Linked DNA regions of Schizosaccharomyces pombe. The protein of the gene in region 1 binds, or shares a complex with, the protein of each later gene. Each region holds a gene or a part of one and is shown on either strand. Other genes may lie near its edges. The genes, in order: snr1, rsm18, rsm25 and SPOM_SPBC3H7.04.

Region 1 (4,534 bases):
ACAAAAAAAAATAATGGCATATACACCAGGTTCAAGAGGTGGACGAGGTGGCTCTAGAGGAGGCCGTGGTGGTTTCAATGGTGGCCGTGGTGGTTTCGGCGGTGGCCGTGGAGGTGCCAGAGGAGGAGGACGCGGTGGTGCTCGTGGCGGTCGTGGCGGTCGTGGAGGTGCCAGAGGAGGCCGCGGTGGTTCTAGCGGTGGCCGTGGTGGAGCCAAAGGAGGTGCTAAAGTTATTATTGAGCCTCATCGTCATGCAGGTGTCTTCATTGCTCGCGGAAAAGAAGATTTGCTTGTCACCCGCAATCTGGTGCCTGGTGAATCAGTATACAATGAAAAACGTATTAGCGTTGATTCCCCAGATGGTACCAAAGTTGAATACCGTGTATGGAATCCTTTCCGTTCTAAACTTGCCGCAGGTATTTTGGGCGGTTTAGACAACATCTATATTAAACCTGGTGCACGTGTTTTATATCTTGGTGCTGCTAACGGTACATCCGTTTCTCACGTTGCTGATGTTGTTGGTCCTGAGGGTCTTGTCTACGCTGTTGAGTTTTCTCATCGTTCTGGACGTGATCTTCTTAACATGGCTAAAAAGCGCACGAATGTCATCCCCATTGTTGAGGATGCTCGCCATGTTCAAAAGTATCGTATGTTAGTCGGAATGGTTGACGTTGTTTTTGCAGACGTTGCTCAACCCGATCAGGCTCGTATCGTTGCTTTGAACGCCGCCGCCTTTTTGAAAAACGAAGGTGGAGTTGTTATCTCTGTTAAGGCTTCTTGTATTGATTCTACCGCTGATGCAGCTGTTGTTTTTGCTCGTGAGGTTAAGAAAATGCAAGAGGAAAAGATTAAACCTCAAGAACAACTTACTTTAGAGCCTTACGAACGTGATCACTGTATCATCGTAGGAAAATACTTGAGACATCAGTAAACAGAAATATATGCCATAAGTGCATGCTTTTTTAGTTTATCATATAATTTTTTTTGCTAGAAAAGCTTATGGTAAGGCCGTGAGCAATTGGAATAATAAAAATATATTTTGGGTATGCGTTTGGCAGTTTTGTCAATTATTTTCTCATTGTTTGATCCAATATGGGAATTATGGAATATATATTAATGCCGTTAGCATTCTTTTTTTTGAACTATCGTACGCACAGCTACCGAAAAAGAGTTTTAGTATGAGTATTTAAAATGGCTATCATTATTTTTAGCTGCTAAAAAGAGTTATGTGCTTTATCGCATGCTAAAACATAACAGGGTCTTTGAAATAAATCATCTTATTATAATACTGAAAAAACTTAGTAGACATAAAGAACAATATTTAATTTATGTAACCTTTGGGATTATAAATAAGGATAAGTCTTATAATTCCAAAGGGGAGTTTTACGTCTTCCTTTTGCAGCAAAAGATATCCCATTATTGTATTCTGAAGGCAACTTGAAATAGTTTTCTAAATCTTTAAAGTGATATTCATGGGATTTGCTCCATTTTGGATTTTTGGTCTTTGTAATAAGTTGAGCATTAACACCTTCAACAAAATCAGGCTGTTTAAGCATATAATAGGAAACGATATGATCATAGTAAAATGCTTCAGATATACTCCACTTAGCAGCAGACTTAATAAGTCGATTGGTAACAGCAATTGAAGTCGGAGATTTGCTATACAATGTTTTAACGGTAGATTTTGCAAATTCCGCTAAAGCACTAGTGTTTGAAGCATATTCTTTTAACGCACGAATAATATCAACGGTATCATTTTTGCAGAAGCATTTATTAATGACATCCATAACGTCTGGAGTAAAAGTGGGTGGTGAACTGCTAGCAAATTCGGCAAATTCCAGGATTGTATTATTGATTTTAGAAATATCAGACGTGTTTAACTCTGCAAGCCTGTCCTCCAAATGAGGAAACATATGCTTCGGAACGAAATGAGTTGCAATTCCAGTACGCAGGCAATCATATCCTTTTACGATTTGAGATGTCAATCCCAGATAAGTTCCAAAGTATCCTGGTAGTCTACTGAAGAAGAAACTGGCAGCCACGTCAGTAAAATAGCCAATTCCGGTTTCTGGCATAGCAAACATCGTATCTTCACACGCAATACGGAAAGGAACATGCATAGCCAAACCAGATCCACCTCCCATGGTGATGCCATTCATCAAAGCCACAACTGGTTTCTGGTATGTAGCTAACGTATGGCTTAATCGATACTCTTGAGCAAATGCATGGCGAACTTCAGGTAATTTTCCATCTTGTATTGAAAGTGCTGCAGCTTTAATGTCACCTCCCGAACTAAAAGAGCGACCATTTCCTTTAAGAATAATTACCTTGGCCAGATTTGATTCTTCTAATGAAACTAGCTTTGGTAGGATTGAATCTATCATGTCAACGTTGATAGCGTTCAATACTTTTGGCCTGTTTAAAGTAAATATCCTTGCTCCATTTTTACTCTCGTATAAAACTGTATCATTTGAGGAAGTGCTATAAAATTTTGGATTTCGAATAAACGCTCTAGACATGGTGCTACTTGCATTCAAAGAAAGGAAATTTGACACACTTGTTTTAAGTAAGGATTGCCTTAACATAAATCCAGATTTTTTCAAATCGTTAGAGATATTTAATTTCAATCCCATGAAAGCTAACCAAGTTAAATAACACCGATTATTTTTGCATAGACGGTTAACGTCTCTTCTACGTTACTTTATAACGAAGTGTGTTCTTAATTGTGAACTAATAACAAATCACAAAAGACCATTCGTAAAACAAAGTAGGTTTCCATGCATTAGCTGGGCAAATACTTGTCTCAAAAAATCTATATTTAGTATTAATTTAGTTTCTCAGGGTTTGTCGATTTTAAAAGTCTTAAACCACTTGTTGCATAGCATTGAGTACTCAAAACTGTTATTGTAATACACAGGTGCTATTTGCAACAACAATTTAAGGTGTCAGAATGAGCAAATTCCAAATATTTAATGTACGACATCACATAGTATAAATAATTATTTCTTCTATTTTAGGTAATGAATGAGATATCATTAATTTATCTAACAGTATACAGTCATAAAGTTCCTGTTGCATAAAACAACGTAATTTAATGAACTCGATACTTTACGCTTTACGATACTTTTGAATGCACAATATGTTATAATGAAATGCATTGTGATACTTAGTACATTGTGTTAGACTAATTGAAAGTAAAATACATCCATTCTTCAGGTACTAGTCGTCCATTTCACAAACTAATCAGAATGACAGCAAAAATGTTGCACTTGGTGCGATATAAATTTCCGTCGTTGGAGCCCGCGAGTCTTTTTCTTATTCCCGGAAGTTTCCTGCAAGAAAGATTTCGTCGAGATATTTTGCATCGTGCCGTTATTTATGAAGCAGATAATGACCGTCAAGGCACTGCTAGCTCAAAGCGCCGAAATGAAATTACTTGTTCCGGTCGAAAACTTTATCGACAAAAAGGTACAGGACATGCACGGGTAGGCGATGCCTCAAGTCCTATAAGAAGAGGTGGTGCTAAATCACATGGTCCTAAGCCTAGAGATTTCAGTACAAAATTACAAACCCAAGTTTATAATTTAGCAATGAGGATTGCGCTAAGTACAAGATTTATTAATAATGAACTGACCATCCTTGAAAATCCCATCAACTTAAGTCAACCAAAAACACGGATTTTGCTTGAAGTTTTGAAGCAACACAAGTTAGGACACGAGTACGGGAAGGCACTTTTTGTCCTTAACGATAATTACTTTGAAGATGAGTCCCTTAAAAATAATAATTTATTGCTTGCATCTAGACAGTTAGGCTACCATTGCTCCTTTATTCCTGTTGGTGAGTTTCAGGTTCGAGATGCACTAAAATTCGGTAAACTATTTATTGATTCTGAAGCCATGTCGTTAATTGTAGAGAAGTTTGCTCAACGAAATACACTAAGTGATATGGATCAACCTGCTTCCCTGACTGCTTATGTTGATGCAAATAGTAGTTCTTTTACGAAATCAAAACCTGAACCGTCTTTATCTCTATGATATGAAATAAACGCATATCTTTCAATTGTTTTTGAATTTCATGAATCTACATTTTCCGATTTTGGTAGTTACGGAAACATTATAATCCACAATCATTAATTCTTTTTTCAATCCTTTCTCTTGTCGTGTTTAAATTTTTTAATTTCGGCTTATTTAGTTTACTGTCTTGATTAGTTACCTCTTGGTTAACAATGGCTGGCATGTTCCGTATTCCTATTGCCGTCGTTCAGATTGCTGCATTTGTGCATCAAATTCATGAGTATCTTTTTCAAGTGCAAATGACATCGGGTCCAAGTATGATGCCAACATTAAATTCTGGGTATTGAAATAACGCTTTGTATTTATGGTTCTAACTTAAAAAGTGGTGAATTCGTTTTGTTAGATAAATTGCATGGTAGGTTTGCTCGTTCATGTTCTGTAGGAGATGTTGTTGTTTCGGCAAAACCTTCCGATTCAAAGCAACACGTGTGCAAACGAATCATTGGAATGGTGAGTATTTC
Region 2 (3,910 bases), on another chromosome or scaffold:
GGTCTTTTATCCAAGCAACATCGTCCGCGAAAGAATATTAACTTTACACCTCTCCCTCCTAGTACTCCTTCAAAACCCTCTACCTTTGTTCGTCCACATTCTTCCTCCACAGATTCGCCTCCATCACCCTCGACTCCTTCCAATACACAAACCGACTCTTATTTTATTCAACGGGAAAACACTCCTACAAATCACAATTCCATTCCTACTATTCAGTTGGAGAAAAGTTCCATGGACTTTTTGAGGTTCGATCCTCCTCCTTCTGCTGTAAAAACTTCTCACAACTATGGATTACCATTTCTATCTAATCAGAGGTGTCCCGCTACGCCTACTCGTAACCCATTTGCGTTTGAAAATACTGTTTCCATTCACATGGACGGTCGGCAACCTTCGCCTATCAAATCGAGAAATAATAATCAAATGTCATTTGCCATGGAGGAAGAAGCTGATGTATCTCAACCCTCTTCTTCAAGCTTTACATTATCCTTTCCTTCTGCTCTCACCTCGTCCAAAGTATCATCATCTACTTCACATTTGCTTACACGGTTTAGAAATGTTACTTTACTAGGAAGTGGAGAGTTTAGTGAGGTTTTTCAAGTTGAAGACCCTGTGGAAAAAACTTTAAAGTATGCAGTGAAAAAGCTCAAGGTAAAGTTTAGTGGACCAAAAGAACGTAATCGACTACTTCAGGAAGTCTCTATTCAACGAGCCCTTAAAGGCCATGATCACATTGTAGAGCTTATGGACTCATGGGAACATGGGGGGTTTCTTTATATGCAAGTCGAATTGTGTGAAAATGGTAGTTTGGATCGTTTTCTTGAAGAGCAAGGACAACTTTCAAGGCTCGATGAATTTAGGGTATGGAAAATATTAGTAGAAGTAGCTCTTGGGCTACAGTTTATTCATCATAAAAATTATGTTCATTTGGATTTAAAGCCTGCTAATGTTATGATAACATTCGAGGGTACCTTGAAGATTGGTGATTTTGGAATGGCCAGTGTTTGGCCTGTTCCGAGAGGCATGGAAAGAGAAGGTGATTGTGAATACATTGCGCCTGAGGTTCTTGCTAACCATTTGTATGATAAACCTGCTGATATTTTCAGTTTGGGTATCACAGTCTTCGAAGCTGCTGCTAACATTGTTCTTCCTGATAACGGTCAGTCTTGGCAGAAATTACGTTCCGGTGACTTATCAGATGCTCCTCGACTTTCTTCAACAGACAACGGTTCATCTCTTACTTCTTCTTCTCGTGAAACACCGGCTAATAGTATAATAGGCCAAGGGGGACTTGATCGCGTTGTAGAGTGGATGCTATCTCCAGAGCCTAGGAACCGACCTACCATAGATCAAATTTTGGCAACTGATGAGGTTTGCTGGGTTGAAATGCGTAGAAAAGCCGGAGCCATAATTTATGAAGGTATTCATGGATCTTCTTCTAACCCCCAGGGTGATCAAATGATGGAAGATTGGCAGGTGAATGTTTAAACCTTTTAGAGACTCTTGTTCTCAATGTTTATTACTGCGAAATTGCGAAATAAGGGAATGGCTTCCAAAATCTGTTTAGCTTCATAAAAGCAAACACTTTAATTATTTTTAAACGAAAAGTTTAGTGATTGGTGCTTATAATTAATTTTGGTTCATTAAATGCTTTTTTTTTATTTAAGGATACGTGTCCGTTTTAACCGAACCCTTAAATTTTAAAAAATTTTAAAAAATTATTAGATGATAGTTTTTCTATTTAATTTTTTGCCTTTTCACCGGATTATCTATTTGGTTTTCTTCAGTCAAATATCCGGTTAATTATATCTGAGGCAATATGATGATGGCTATGGAAACATGCCATTCAGTTCTTGATATGGGGAACTAGAATGTTTCCTTAATTTAAAGCCTTGACGCCGCACATACTGTACGTGCTTTGTCTACTGAAAAAATGTTAGTGAACGATTGTTTTTTATATCGCAAATCCTTTCTCTAACATGTAGACTCGGCTTCAGAGGAGTTATTATTCCTATTTTTCATCTATTTTATTGTCTAATTTCTTATGTCACTCGTTTGTTATCGACTTGATATGTTGCATTTACTCATCTTTGCTAGCATAAAGTTCGAATCCCGACTGTTTATCCACTTTTTTTTGACTTCTGTTTTCATAATAATTTAGATCGATCGATGACACTGCCTATTATTCTTGTACATAGTTTACGATCTTGCTGAATGGCAAATAATTGGTTATGTTTATGGAAAATGCCACGATTTACTAACGAAGTTTAATAACCCGTTAGATTTTTTATTATTATCATATCATATAATAATTAGTAATAATGTTAACGTTATGCTTAGTTCCACTTCTGTAATTTTTAATTTCCCTTTTTTTTTATGCTTGTGAAAGCTGTGTATATGCTCAAGTTTGTGATGCCTTCAAATTAGTATAGGATTTTAATGACCCGTTTAACACTTCATATCTAAATAAACATTTATTTTGAAACAGAAAAGTTAGAAAATTCAGGTATCATCACGTTTTCATTTATCAGACACAAGCATAAGCTATAAACTATTTAACGAGTGTCTCATTATTTCACTAAACACCTTCAAACATTGAAATATTACTTTGACAACAGCACGGGAGAAAAATGCTTGGGAGACGAATATTTTCTCCAGCTCCAAACAGAGGATTTATTTTATGCAATCTCATACAATCTAATAACTCTACGCGAAGAGGGTTTTCGGACAATCGAAAATTTAATGAGAGAAATTCTGAAGCATCTTCAAATGTAGGATTTCAGAGAAGAGTTCGCTCAAATATTCCATCATATTTATCAGCCTCCGTAGAAGAAGGTGATATTTACTCTCCCAATGATTTACTGTTTGAAACGGTAAAGGCGAAAAATCAAGCCAAATTCTATGAACCAGTAAGAGAAGATTGCTTTAAGACGGTGAACGAAAACCCTATGAATTATTGGAAAAACCCCGTAATATTGTCAAGATTCGTTACTGAACTTGGTCGTATTAAACCCAGAGGTGATACTGGCCTAACAGCAAAAAATCAACGACTTCTTTCTAGGGCTATCCGAAGGGCTCGAGCTGCTGGTATAATGCCGACGAAATACAAATCAGTTTATTCGGAAAATTAAATTGTACTGAATATTAACAAGGACGTTCTATATCTCATTTCATCACATTGGTAGATATACTTACCCACTGTCCCTTACTTTTTTTTTCTTAAGGAACGATAAACGATCTACTTTACTTTTTAAATGATTAGCTCACGTTAATTAATATTTCAGGTGTACTTTGGTTTTGAATAGTCTTTTTTGGATTAAAATATACATGACACAAAATCATAAACCGCTGCTAATATTAGTGGCTAACATTTTTTAATGGCTTTAAAAATATAATATCTTTGTTATCTTTAATTTTTAATTTAGCTTGATTGAACTTTTTTGTAGGAGGAGCGTTAGTCGATACAATGTATTAAAAAAATTATCTAGTAGTAGTTATTTTACTTATCTAAAGAGGACAGAGAGGGAAGAACAAATAATTATATGCAAAAGAAGAAAAAATCCATCTAGAAAAGAATTGGGTTTTATAGAACGATATTAAAACGATGAGTGCATCATGGAGCTAGTTCAAAATATATGCAATAGGGCTTTTCATGAAGGTATATGAGATAAAAGAACAGAAGTTAAATCAGCTTGTGGTATGTAATTCTCCGACTTTAACGAAATTAGAGATCCTGAGAACTTAGAAGAATGACCTAAAGCTGTAAATAGCTGAGCACTCTTATAGGGATCTGAACTCTTTTTATGAACCCTTTGAATGGCCCACTCGATTGAATATAAAGCTTCGTGAATGGCTTGCAAAGGTGGTATATTACAAGCCAGATTCGATGCAATGGCAGCTGTAAGAGAGCAAC
Region 3 (4,234 bases), 1.3 Mb from region 1:
CGCAATTGCCCAATAAAATCATGCTCCACCCTGTTCCGCAAGACGAAATAAAACCTCGACCTAAGAAAGGAAGGTAAATGATGGTAATTTTTAGAGTCTACATAGGTGAGATGGTGACCAATCCTGTTGAGGCATGAGTTTGGTTTTTTTGATATGTATCTTAACTTTTTGTTTGGGAAAAAAAGTGGCATTTCGTGATTCATGACTAAAATCAATTACTGGCAATCGTTTAATATTAGAAAAATTTTTCCTTTCCTGACAAAAAGTGTTATGGGTATAGACGCTATCATCTTCTTATCTATGTTGGCTGCTCAATAAATGATGAACTTTTTTTAAAGCACTTTTAAAAGTTTGGAGCGAAAGTTCGCTAGCTGGCTAAACGGCAGTGTCATCTGAAAAGCTTGCTATAGCTTTGAATAATATTTATAATATATATATATGTATTCAAATAGATGGTAGAAATTTAATGTGTTCTGATAGATTGTTTTAATTTGAAGACATAAAGAGATGAAAAATATCTGTTTTATTTTTGAAAGGGGATAGTACTAAGAAAATTCTGAAAAAAAAAAAAACAAAACAAAAATCAATTTTTGAGGAGACAATATGATATATCAGCTGTGAATTTAAATACTACTGAGTCGTCTTAGAGATATCTACACTCGGGTCTGTGAACTTTGTACGATTAGCCTCAGCGTATTGTGAAGCATTATCAAACCAAGAATTTAAAGCATTTTGATCCATTTCATAGCCCAACTCCAGATCAGATTTTGTAAATACAGCACCCAATGCTTGAGCCTGATCATGGGCAACGCGTTGCTGAATTTCTTGTTCAGCGCGTAGGTGATAAAATTCCTTTCTTGCTTGATCATAAGCATTTTCTACAGGCATGTTAGAGTTTTCAATCAGCCATAAAGTTCTTTGCACTACACTCTCGCCAGATAATGCTTTGCGCGGTTGATCCATGTGACTCCAATCACAATATTGCTGATCATTACCGTCATTTTCTGCAATGATTTGAGGCCTTGCTAGTTCCCAAGGATGATCTCGATAAAACCTTTTACGGAGTTTATCTTCTGGCCATTGAATTTCCTGAGGCTGATACATTGATTTTCGTAACCGTTTACCACGGGATTTTACCTTATTTGGATCGTACAATGGTACAATACGTCTAGCATATTGAAAGGTTGGGGGATGTTTAGCAACCGTTTCGTACCATAAAGACTCTGCTGTCCATGGCTTTTTCATTTCAGCTGCAAAGCTGCGTAGCAAACCATTTGCATTAAATTTCGGCATTGGATCTTCCTCCTGAAAAAGTTATTAAATAGTATATTAGTAAAATAATCAGTAATAGAAACGTGAAAATGGAAGTAAGGATTGAATAATGATTGAGATGGGTTAATTATGCAAAACACATCCACGGCGCTATAAATAATGGAGAGTATGACTTGAGGTAATAAACAATCGCTTATATGGATAGTCTGCTAAAAAAGTGAATTATAAGCGCAAGAAACCAACTTTTTTGGTGAAAATGGCTTCCAAGAGGAATTGGGCTGGCCAAGCTAGTGTTAGCTGACGGTACTAGTGTGCCTCATCTTAGTAGCTACTGAGTATAACCTAATGGTAAGATATTATGAATATTTATTTCAGAACACACAAGGATACGAACACTATTAATGAAATAGTTATTTATAAATTTAAACACATCTATTGCCTTTTTTTTGCTAAGATATGGCTTGTTTGTAAATTCGGAATTTAAACTAAGCGATTGTTCATCTAAATTAATTTTATGGATTGAAAGTCCCTATTATTTTTTAGATATTTTTTTTATAATTGCTAAAGGTATATAGAGTTTATTGCCTTTATTTTTTTATATTTTTTTATCAATCGTTAACGCCATAGGAAAGCAAGTTAAACTGCTTAAAAATTTTTTAATACTTAAAAATTTTTTGTTATGGAATAAACTTTTTTTTTTTTATACTTTTAATTTTCACTGATTTCATTAAATATTTACCGGCAGCCGTTAGAATTATTAATAACAATGGTTCAAAAAACTCCAAAAAAATTTTAAGATTAATTAGACAAAATCAATTATATGTTTCGTAAAGCAAATTAAATGGCTGTACTGTATTTGTGAAGCTGTATGCGTATTTGCTAATTTGATTTTGTCATAAACTGACTGAGTAAATTAGCGCAGCAAATGCCGCTACACCTAGCATGTTCTGAAGTGAAAATGAAGTGCTGCAAATATTTAAAGCCATTGATCGTACAGTATTATTATGAATGGACATCAACTACTTGAATTCTTGCCTGCTCATACATTTTTAGCAGTTATTTTCATTTCTTCACTTATAACGCAGTCATATTTATACTCCGTATTTGATTTTACCTGCTAGCTGGCAATCTCAATGCTAGAATACGATATTCGCTTCTGGATGATGAGTGTTATATAACCTAGGTAAGGTTAATCTGTAGCTTATAACGAAGAAGTAAGGTAAATAGACTACACTTGTGTTCTTTGACGAAAGTGTATTCGATGATATTGTAAATGCTGATTAAATACTAATGAGTCAACAAACGTGCCTAAATGCTGGTTGCATTCAATGCCATTCCTATATATGATGATGGCCGATTGATCGTTATTCATTAGCGATTCTTAAGAGGATCGATGAATGATAGTTTAATAGTTTAGAGGGATATTCTGCATTTAATTATATTAAGGGACCTCTTTTTTACTCATGAATGTTCTTTCCATGTTTACACAATAACGAGCTATTATAACAAAATAACGTAAATAAACTATAGCGATGGTTTCCGTTAATTCACTAACGCTGCCTGTTAATGAGGAAATAGCAATCTTAGGTTTTGCTTAGAACCCAACTTCGCAACGTTGGAAGGTTTGCTCAGTTAGCTGTATTTATACCACCTTCTGTTTTTTGGAAACCTTGGATGAAATGTTTAGATGCATTATTGAGCCTTTTCGCACAGTTTAATGTTTGAATTATCGCATCATATAGAAAGGGAACGGAAGTATATGCATCATCTCGTATCGAGTTCTCGTTTTCTTTTTTTATCAAGTACCCCCTTCTCTCATTAATAGTGATCCTTTTAATTTGATTATCGTTTCTTTTCTTCATAACGCGTCTTTTCGTTTCCACGCCTCTCGTTTTGGGGACGACTTTTGTCTGCTTGCCAGGCTAAGAGATGCGAAATTGTGTATCTCCACTACTTTTTGCATGGACAAAACATTTACGTTTAAGGGAATTTAAAATCCCTTTCCCAAATCGTCTTGTTGTGCGGTCACTAAACCAGCTTAGCGTTCATCATGAAAAGGTAACTGGGTGCAGGCCTCGACAAGCGTCTTCTGATGAATTACATAAATACTCGAAATCTGCTTCAAACGAAGCATTTCTCTCAAGTTTTGCAGAAAATCAATTATTTCACAAGTGTTTGCCTTCCAGCGCAGGTGCTGTTCTTAGTGAAAACGATTTAATGTACATTATCCGAAAAGTCAGTGAAGTCTATGCTGATAATAAAACTGAAAAGGTTACTGTGCCTTTTGACAAACATAAAAACCCATTCCTAATTTACGTGAAAAAACGGTTTGCCGAATGTTTTGATAAAAATCCTGATCTTTGCCTCATTGTGTATTCAAAACTGGAGGTTGAAACGTTGGCAAAAATAACTCCCATTTGGATTAATGTCGCCAAAAAAAATAAAAAAGAAGATTTTCTTGTTGAACTCTGCCTCCGTTTTTTAGAACGATTCCGTTCATGCAATTTGACTGAACAAGCAATCTTATATCAAAATTTTCGAGAAAACTGGTGGAGTAACATTAAGTTACCCCAAAATCTCAAAAGTCTGTACGTTGAATTGTGTTTGGTGTATCATTTCCATAATTCCCATCTTGGGATGGATTCCTCTACAGTCTCTAATTTAAAACGCTTCTGCTTCTCAGAGTCATTAGGTCATATATTTGCTCCTTTGAGATTCCAAAATCAACAGCTTCCTTTGCAACACGTTTATGCGTTTTTGTTTTCCATAGCATATCGTGATAACCAAGTTGATACTGCTCATTTTCTTTATAAACAGTGGTCTCGTGCAGGCATGGGACCATTGCCAAAAGATGCATTTATAAAATTTGTACAATTACTCTCAAAAAACCGTAATTGGGTTTTAATGCGCGATATTGTTCAGCTGGAAGAATACAATAGTTATCTTCTCGACCATCGAATAG
Region 4 (4,181 bases), 1.1 Mb from region 1:
TAAGCATTTTGTCATTTTCTTTTATCATTATTGTCTTTTTTTCATATTTTTGTCGGTTGACTGATTGATTGTAAATAAAGTCTCATAGTTATATAGAGTGTGGTTTGCCTTTTCTTATTGTTTCGCCTTGTCTTGTCTTGTCTCGTCTAGTGTTGCTTGTATTGTCTTACCCTATCTGTTCTTTTTCTTCACTTTTGTTTTAACTGCGAATTTTCTTTCTTACTTTTTTGCTTTTCTTCCTTTCCTATTCCTCCACTATAAAGTTTTCGGCGTTTGATCATCTACGAACACGATCTAAAATTCAATTACTTTCATGTATCCATTTTCTTTCGATCCTTCTTCCAAACTTCCAGTCACAGGTATTTATAACATCCTTCTGTTCAATCTATTCCCTTTAGCTACATACCTTGTCGAAACCTTTTGTTTTTTTCGCCGGTGGAAAATCGCCTGCACTTTGTTATGTTCCATCACGGTTATACTGGCGTATCGCATGTGTGCTGTCTATCACCATGTTGGTTATAAGGATGTCTCTACATTTGGTTTGGCATATGGCTTTCTCATTATGATGTCGCTTCGAACTTGCTTTTTGAGTTGGCGAGATATGGTACCTTCTCGCAACGATCCTGTACAAATCAGCGCTGTTAAGCGTCGTCGACCATTCATTCGTAACGCTAGGTGGAACTTTGTTGATTATGCACTTTCTTTGCGCAAGTATGGTTGGACTGACGACGTGGTTCCCCCTTACTGTAGAAAAGTGCTGACTTACAAATCTTTGGGGATACGTACTGCTGTCTATGTGGGTGCATTTTGTTTTGTCAATTGTTTTAAAACTCGTTTATCCAATTGGATGTTGCTTCCTATATCAGCCAACCCATGGTATATTCAAGTCGCATTTTGCGTAACCTCTGGATTCTTTTCATATTTGTTTATTAATGCCTTGTACTATTTATTCGCCATTATTTTTGTTCCTCTGGGAATTTGGGATATTGCAGAGTATCCATTAATGATGGGAAATGTATCTAAAACCACCTCGGTTAATGATTTTTGGTCCAGAGATTGGCATGTTTGTACCAAGCCCTATTTCAGAGTGATTGCTTGGGATCCAACTATTGCCCTCACTGGAAGTAAGTTTCTGGCAAGTTGTTCATGTTTTTTCCTTTCAGCATTATTCCATGACTTTGCCTATTGGTCAATTTCTGGACGCTGTTCACCTGCTTTCTTTTTTCAGCTTTTAATTCAACCTTTCCTTATTAATCTTGAAAAAAGGATTCCCCTCTTGCGCAAATATCATTATTGGGTCCTAATAATCGAAATGCTTATTAATGGAACATATGGTATGGGAGTCGTATTATTAAAATTTAAGTGGAAAACATGCTCGCAAATTTAATTTACTGTTTAATGTCTATGTTTGACCTTCCGAAACCTCTAAAGTATCAGATAATTGCTATGTGTCCTAGTTTATACATTTAATGGATGGTTCAACTAAATTAACTTTTCCGTAGATATTGTTGGAATGTTAAATAATATATAGAGGGAAACATTACATTTAGCATTCTAATTCTCATTCTTTGCCAACAGTAATTACAAAACTTTATTTATTTATAAGATTTGTTAATAGTATGGGTTTTTTCAATCAGATAAAGTGAACCCATAGTAAGCCACCATGATCACTTGCATACAAAACGTAGCCGGGAGAGGAGGGGAGAGAAGTAGAAAAAGATTGAAAATTGTGCAGGATTCAGTCGGGTTAGCTAAAGGGATTCAATGCGCGTAGCTTGGAATCTATTGTTGACGACCGTCCAATTGATCATATCCCACCATTTTGTAATGTACATTTTTTTACCATTTAAACCATAGTCGTCAAGATACGCATATTGCCAAAGGTTAACGCATAAAAGCGGTACAATTGCATTGGTACGAAACTTAGGAAATCCTGTTCCCCAAAGAAAGGCATTTGACGCATTGTACGTGCATAATAAGGAAAATAAAGATTTTTCTGGACTATATACCAACCACAGCCAACCATCACCAAAAACTGAATTGCCAACGTCAACCATTTGAGACTTCAACTCACCAAATGAACCGAAGGATGCATCAATTCCAGGCTTTAGGTTGATAGCTCCTAAATCTGCATCTGCAGAGGGCCGTTCTGGAGAAATAAGGCCGGAAAAGAAAAAATCATGATTTACCAATTGGCTAGAGTAATTGAATAAATTAGCGCGGGCTGGGTCACTAGCGCTTTGAACCATTAAATCTGAAGGCACACGATACGGAGTTTGATGAATTTTACATTCTTTTTGTACTAGGCCTCGTAAGTGGTTGTCATAAGCAAAGATATTCCTGACCGCATCTTTTGACAAAAAATTCTTGTAGCCCACGTCCAACGCTCTGGCGAAGCGCTGTTGAAAACTCATTTGTTAAATTGAGGTAATAGTTAGGGAATGGGTATAAAAAACTGCAATGGAAATCAAGTATGCGGGTTTAAATTTTGTAATCCTAAGAAATTGGCAAAGACGACCAAACTGTATAATTAATTCATTAAGTATTAACAAAATATGAAAATCAAATAGTGTAGATGCTACGTTTTTGAATGTTTGAAATATTTCAACTTCAATATTGGTAAAGGCGTTCCACTCAGACCGCTCAGAGAGAGGTAAGCAGCCCTACTGGCGCAAGTAAAATATCGGTATGAAAGTTCTGCATTCCTTGTTGCGATATATACCATTATACCACTATATAAATTTTTGAAGTTGAATTAACAGAAATCTAAAACTTCGTTGAAACTTAACTAGTATTACAATGAATTTGTTAACAAGTTTCCCAAAAAAAATTGTGAAAGTAATCTTAAAGCGTTCAACGGGTTTAAACGGTGGATTATAAAAGCCTTTATTCCCAATATGACCATGATTCAATTTAAAAGTAAGCTGTATGACTCATTTTCAATCAAATTTACTTCGTCTTTTATAAGAAGATTCATTGACTTGAGAAGAAGAAAAATAACTTTAATATTCGAATGATCACAACTTTTATGTGAAAGAACTGTAAATATGTTAAACGTTTATAAATGACAATTGTGGCCGTTTGGTCTAGTGGTATGATACCATCTTAGGGTGATGGTGGTCGTGGGTTCGATTCCCACAACAGCCCGATTTTTTTTTTTGTCTCAGTAATTCAAGAGACCCTCAAATTTTTTATGTAACCGTTTAGATTGCAGCCTAATTGTTCAAAAGCTTACTCAAATTTGATCTAAACATTCGTGATTAATCGTTTATGAAACCATACGCTAACGATTAATTAGGAATTGATACAGGTTCATAACACCGTTCATGGATTGGAAACATCTACCATTTATTTTTAGTTTTAGTTAACTAAAATTGTAAGTGCACTGCATTTTTTTCGAAGCTTCATTTCTTTCATCGTTCAAAAAGCTGCTTTGGCAATAAAAAAAAGTTTAAGGTTATTTTTAGCCGAGGCTACTGGGATTGTTTCATATGCTTACAAGCGAAATAGGGAATAACTAGCTGCATACAAATGTTTTTGAAGAATACCTACCATTGGGGCTGAGCTAGAAGAAATATGGGATTTGAGACAAAAAGATTACTACTATATTAAGGAAGAACTGCTGAAACTTAGACGGAATAACCCAAGTATGCATACATGCTGCCAAGCCCGGTCTTGTTGCAATTTCAGGCTCTACACAACAGTAACAAGTGATTTATGGATTACGGATACTTTTTTTAAATTTAATATTATCTGGTTATAGTTAAAATAGAAGATTGTTTCACTATCCACTAGTTTTGGATTACATGCCATTAGTGATCAGGGCTATAAGCGAATAATTTTCAACGTTTCATCTGACCCTGGTACAATTTTTTCAGTAAGTCACATATTTATTTATTTTTATCCAAAATAAGAGCTAGATGCGTATTTTTTACAGGCCATGCCACAGTCTTTTTTAATTGCTAATGTATTAGACTGTGTCAATGGTACGAGACATTACTAACGAGTAAAGGTAATTTCTTCTATAGGATAGATTAAATATACCACCTAGAATTAGCGATGATTTTTACACAAACTCAGCATGTCTGTTTTGTAATTACCAATCCGTTTAATTTATTTGATGTGCGCTCAAAAGATATATAACAATAATCAAGGACAAGAAGCATGAATAATTGATGACA

The links.
Region 2: snr1 (region 1) and rsm18 share a complex: the UniProt entries of both Schizosaccharomyces pombe proteins name them as parts of the mitochondrial small ribosomal subunit.
Region 3: snr1 (region 1) and rsm25 share a complex: the UniProt entries of both Schizosaccharomyces pombe proteins name them as parts of the mitochondrial small ribosomal subunit.
Region 4: snr1 (region 1) and SPOM_SPBC3H7.04 share a complex: the UniProt entries of both Schizosaccharomyces pombe proteins name them as parts of the mitochondrial small ribosomal subunit.

The regions. Positions count from the first base shown.
Region 1 is NC_003423.3:2,979,161-2,983,694, reverse strand, and holds snr1 (mitochondrial 37S ribosomal protein mS47 ), read right to left. Parts: upstream 2,694-4,534; 5' UTR 2,634-2,693; coding exon 1,344-2,633; 3' UTR 1,255-1,343; downstream 1-1,254. Other genes in the region: fib1 (fibrillarin, rRNA and histone methyltransferase), read left to right, coding at 14-931; yml6 (mitochondrial 54S ribosomal protein uL4m), read left to right, coding at 3,249-4,034; mmp1 (endopeptidase catalytic subunit), read left to right, coding at 4,226-4,353, 4,397-4,523. UniProt on the Schizosaccharomyces pombe protein: Component of the mitochondrial ribosome (mitoribosome), a dedicated translation machinery responsible for the synthesis of mitochondrial genome-encoded proteins, including at least some of the essential transmembrane subunits of the mitochondrial respiratory chain.
Region 2 is NC_003421.2:723,383-727,292, forward strand, and holds rsm18 (mitochondrial 37S ribosomal protein bS18m), read left to right. Parts: upstream 1-2,607; 5' UTR 2,608-2,627; coding exon 2,628-3,128; 3' UTR 3,129-3,410; downstream 3,411-3,910. Other genes in the region: protein kinase Wee1, read left to right, coding at 1-1,485; SPOM_SPCC18B5.05C (phosphomethylpyrimidine kinase), read right to left, coding at 3,648-3,910. UniProt on the Schizosaccharomyces pombe protein: Component of the mitochondrial ribosome (mitoribosome), a dedicated translation machinery responsible for the synthesis of mitochondrial genome-encoded proteins, including at least some of the essential transmembrane subunits of the mitochondrial respiratory chain.
Region 3 is NC_003423.3:4,290,396-4,294,629, forward strand, and holds rsm25 (mitochondrial 37S ribosomal protein mS23), read right to left. Parts: upstream 1,568-4,234; 5' UTR 1,294-1,567; coding exon 631-1,293; 3' UTR 501-630; downstream 1-500. Other genes in the region: nucleoporin Rae1, read left to right, coding at 1-77; PPR repeat-containing protein Ppr7, read left to right, coding at 3,202-4,234. UniProt on the Schizosaccharomyces pombe protein: Component of the mitochondrial ribosome (mitoribosome), a dedicated translation machinery responsible for the synthesis of mitochondrial genome-encoded proteins, including at least some of the essential transmembrane subunits of the mitochondrial respiratory chain.
Region 4 is NC_003423.3:1,874,146-1,878,326, forward strand, and holds SPOM_SPBC3H7.04 (mitochondrial 37S ribosomal protein mS42), read right to left. Parts: upstream 2,637-4,181; 5' UTR 2,415-2,636; coding exon 1,752-2,414; 3' UTR 1,509-1,751; downstream 1-1,508. Other genes in the region: SPOM_SPBC3H7.05C (uncharacterized protein), read left to right, coding at 314-1,387. UniProt on the Schizosaccharomyces pombe protein: Component of the mitochondrial ribosome (mitoribosome), a dedicated translation machinery responsible for the synthesis of mitochondrial genome-encoded proteins, including at least some of the essential transmembrane subunits of the mitochondrial respiratory chain.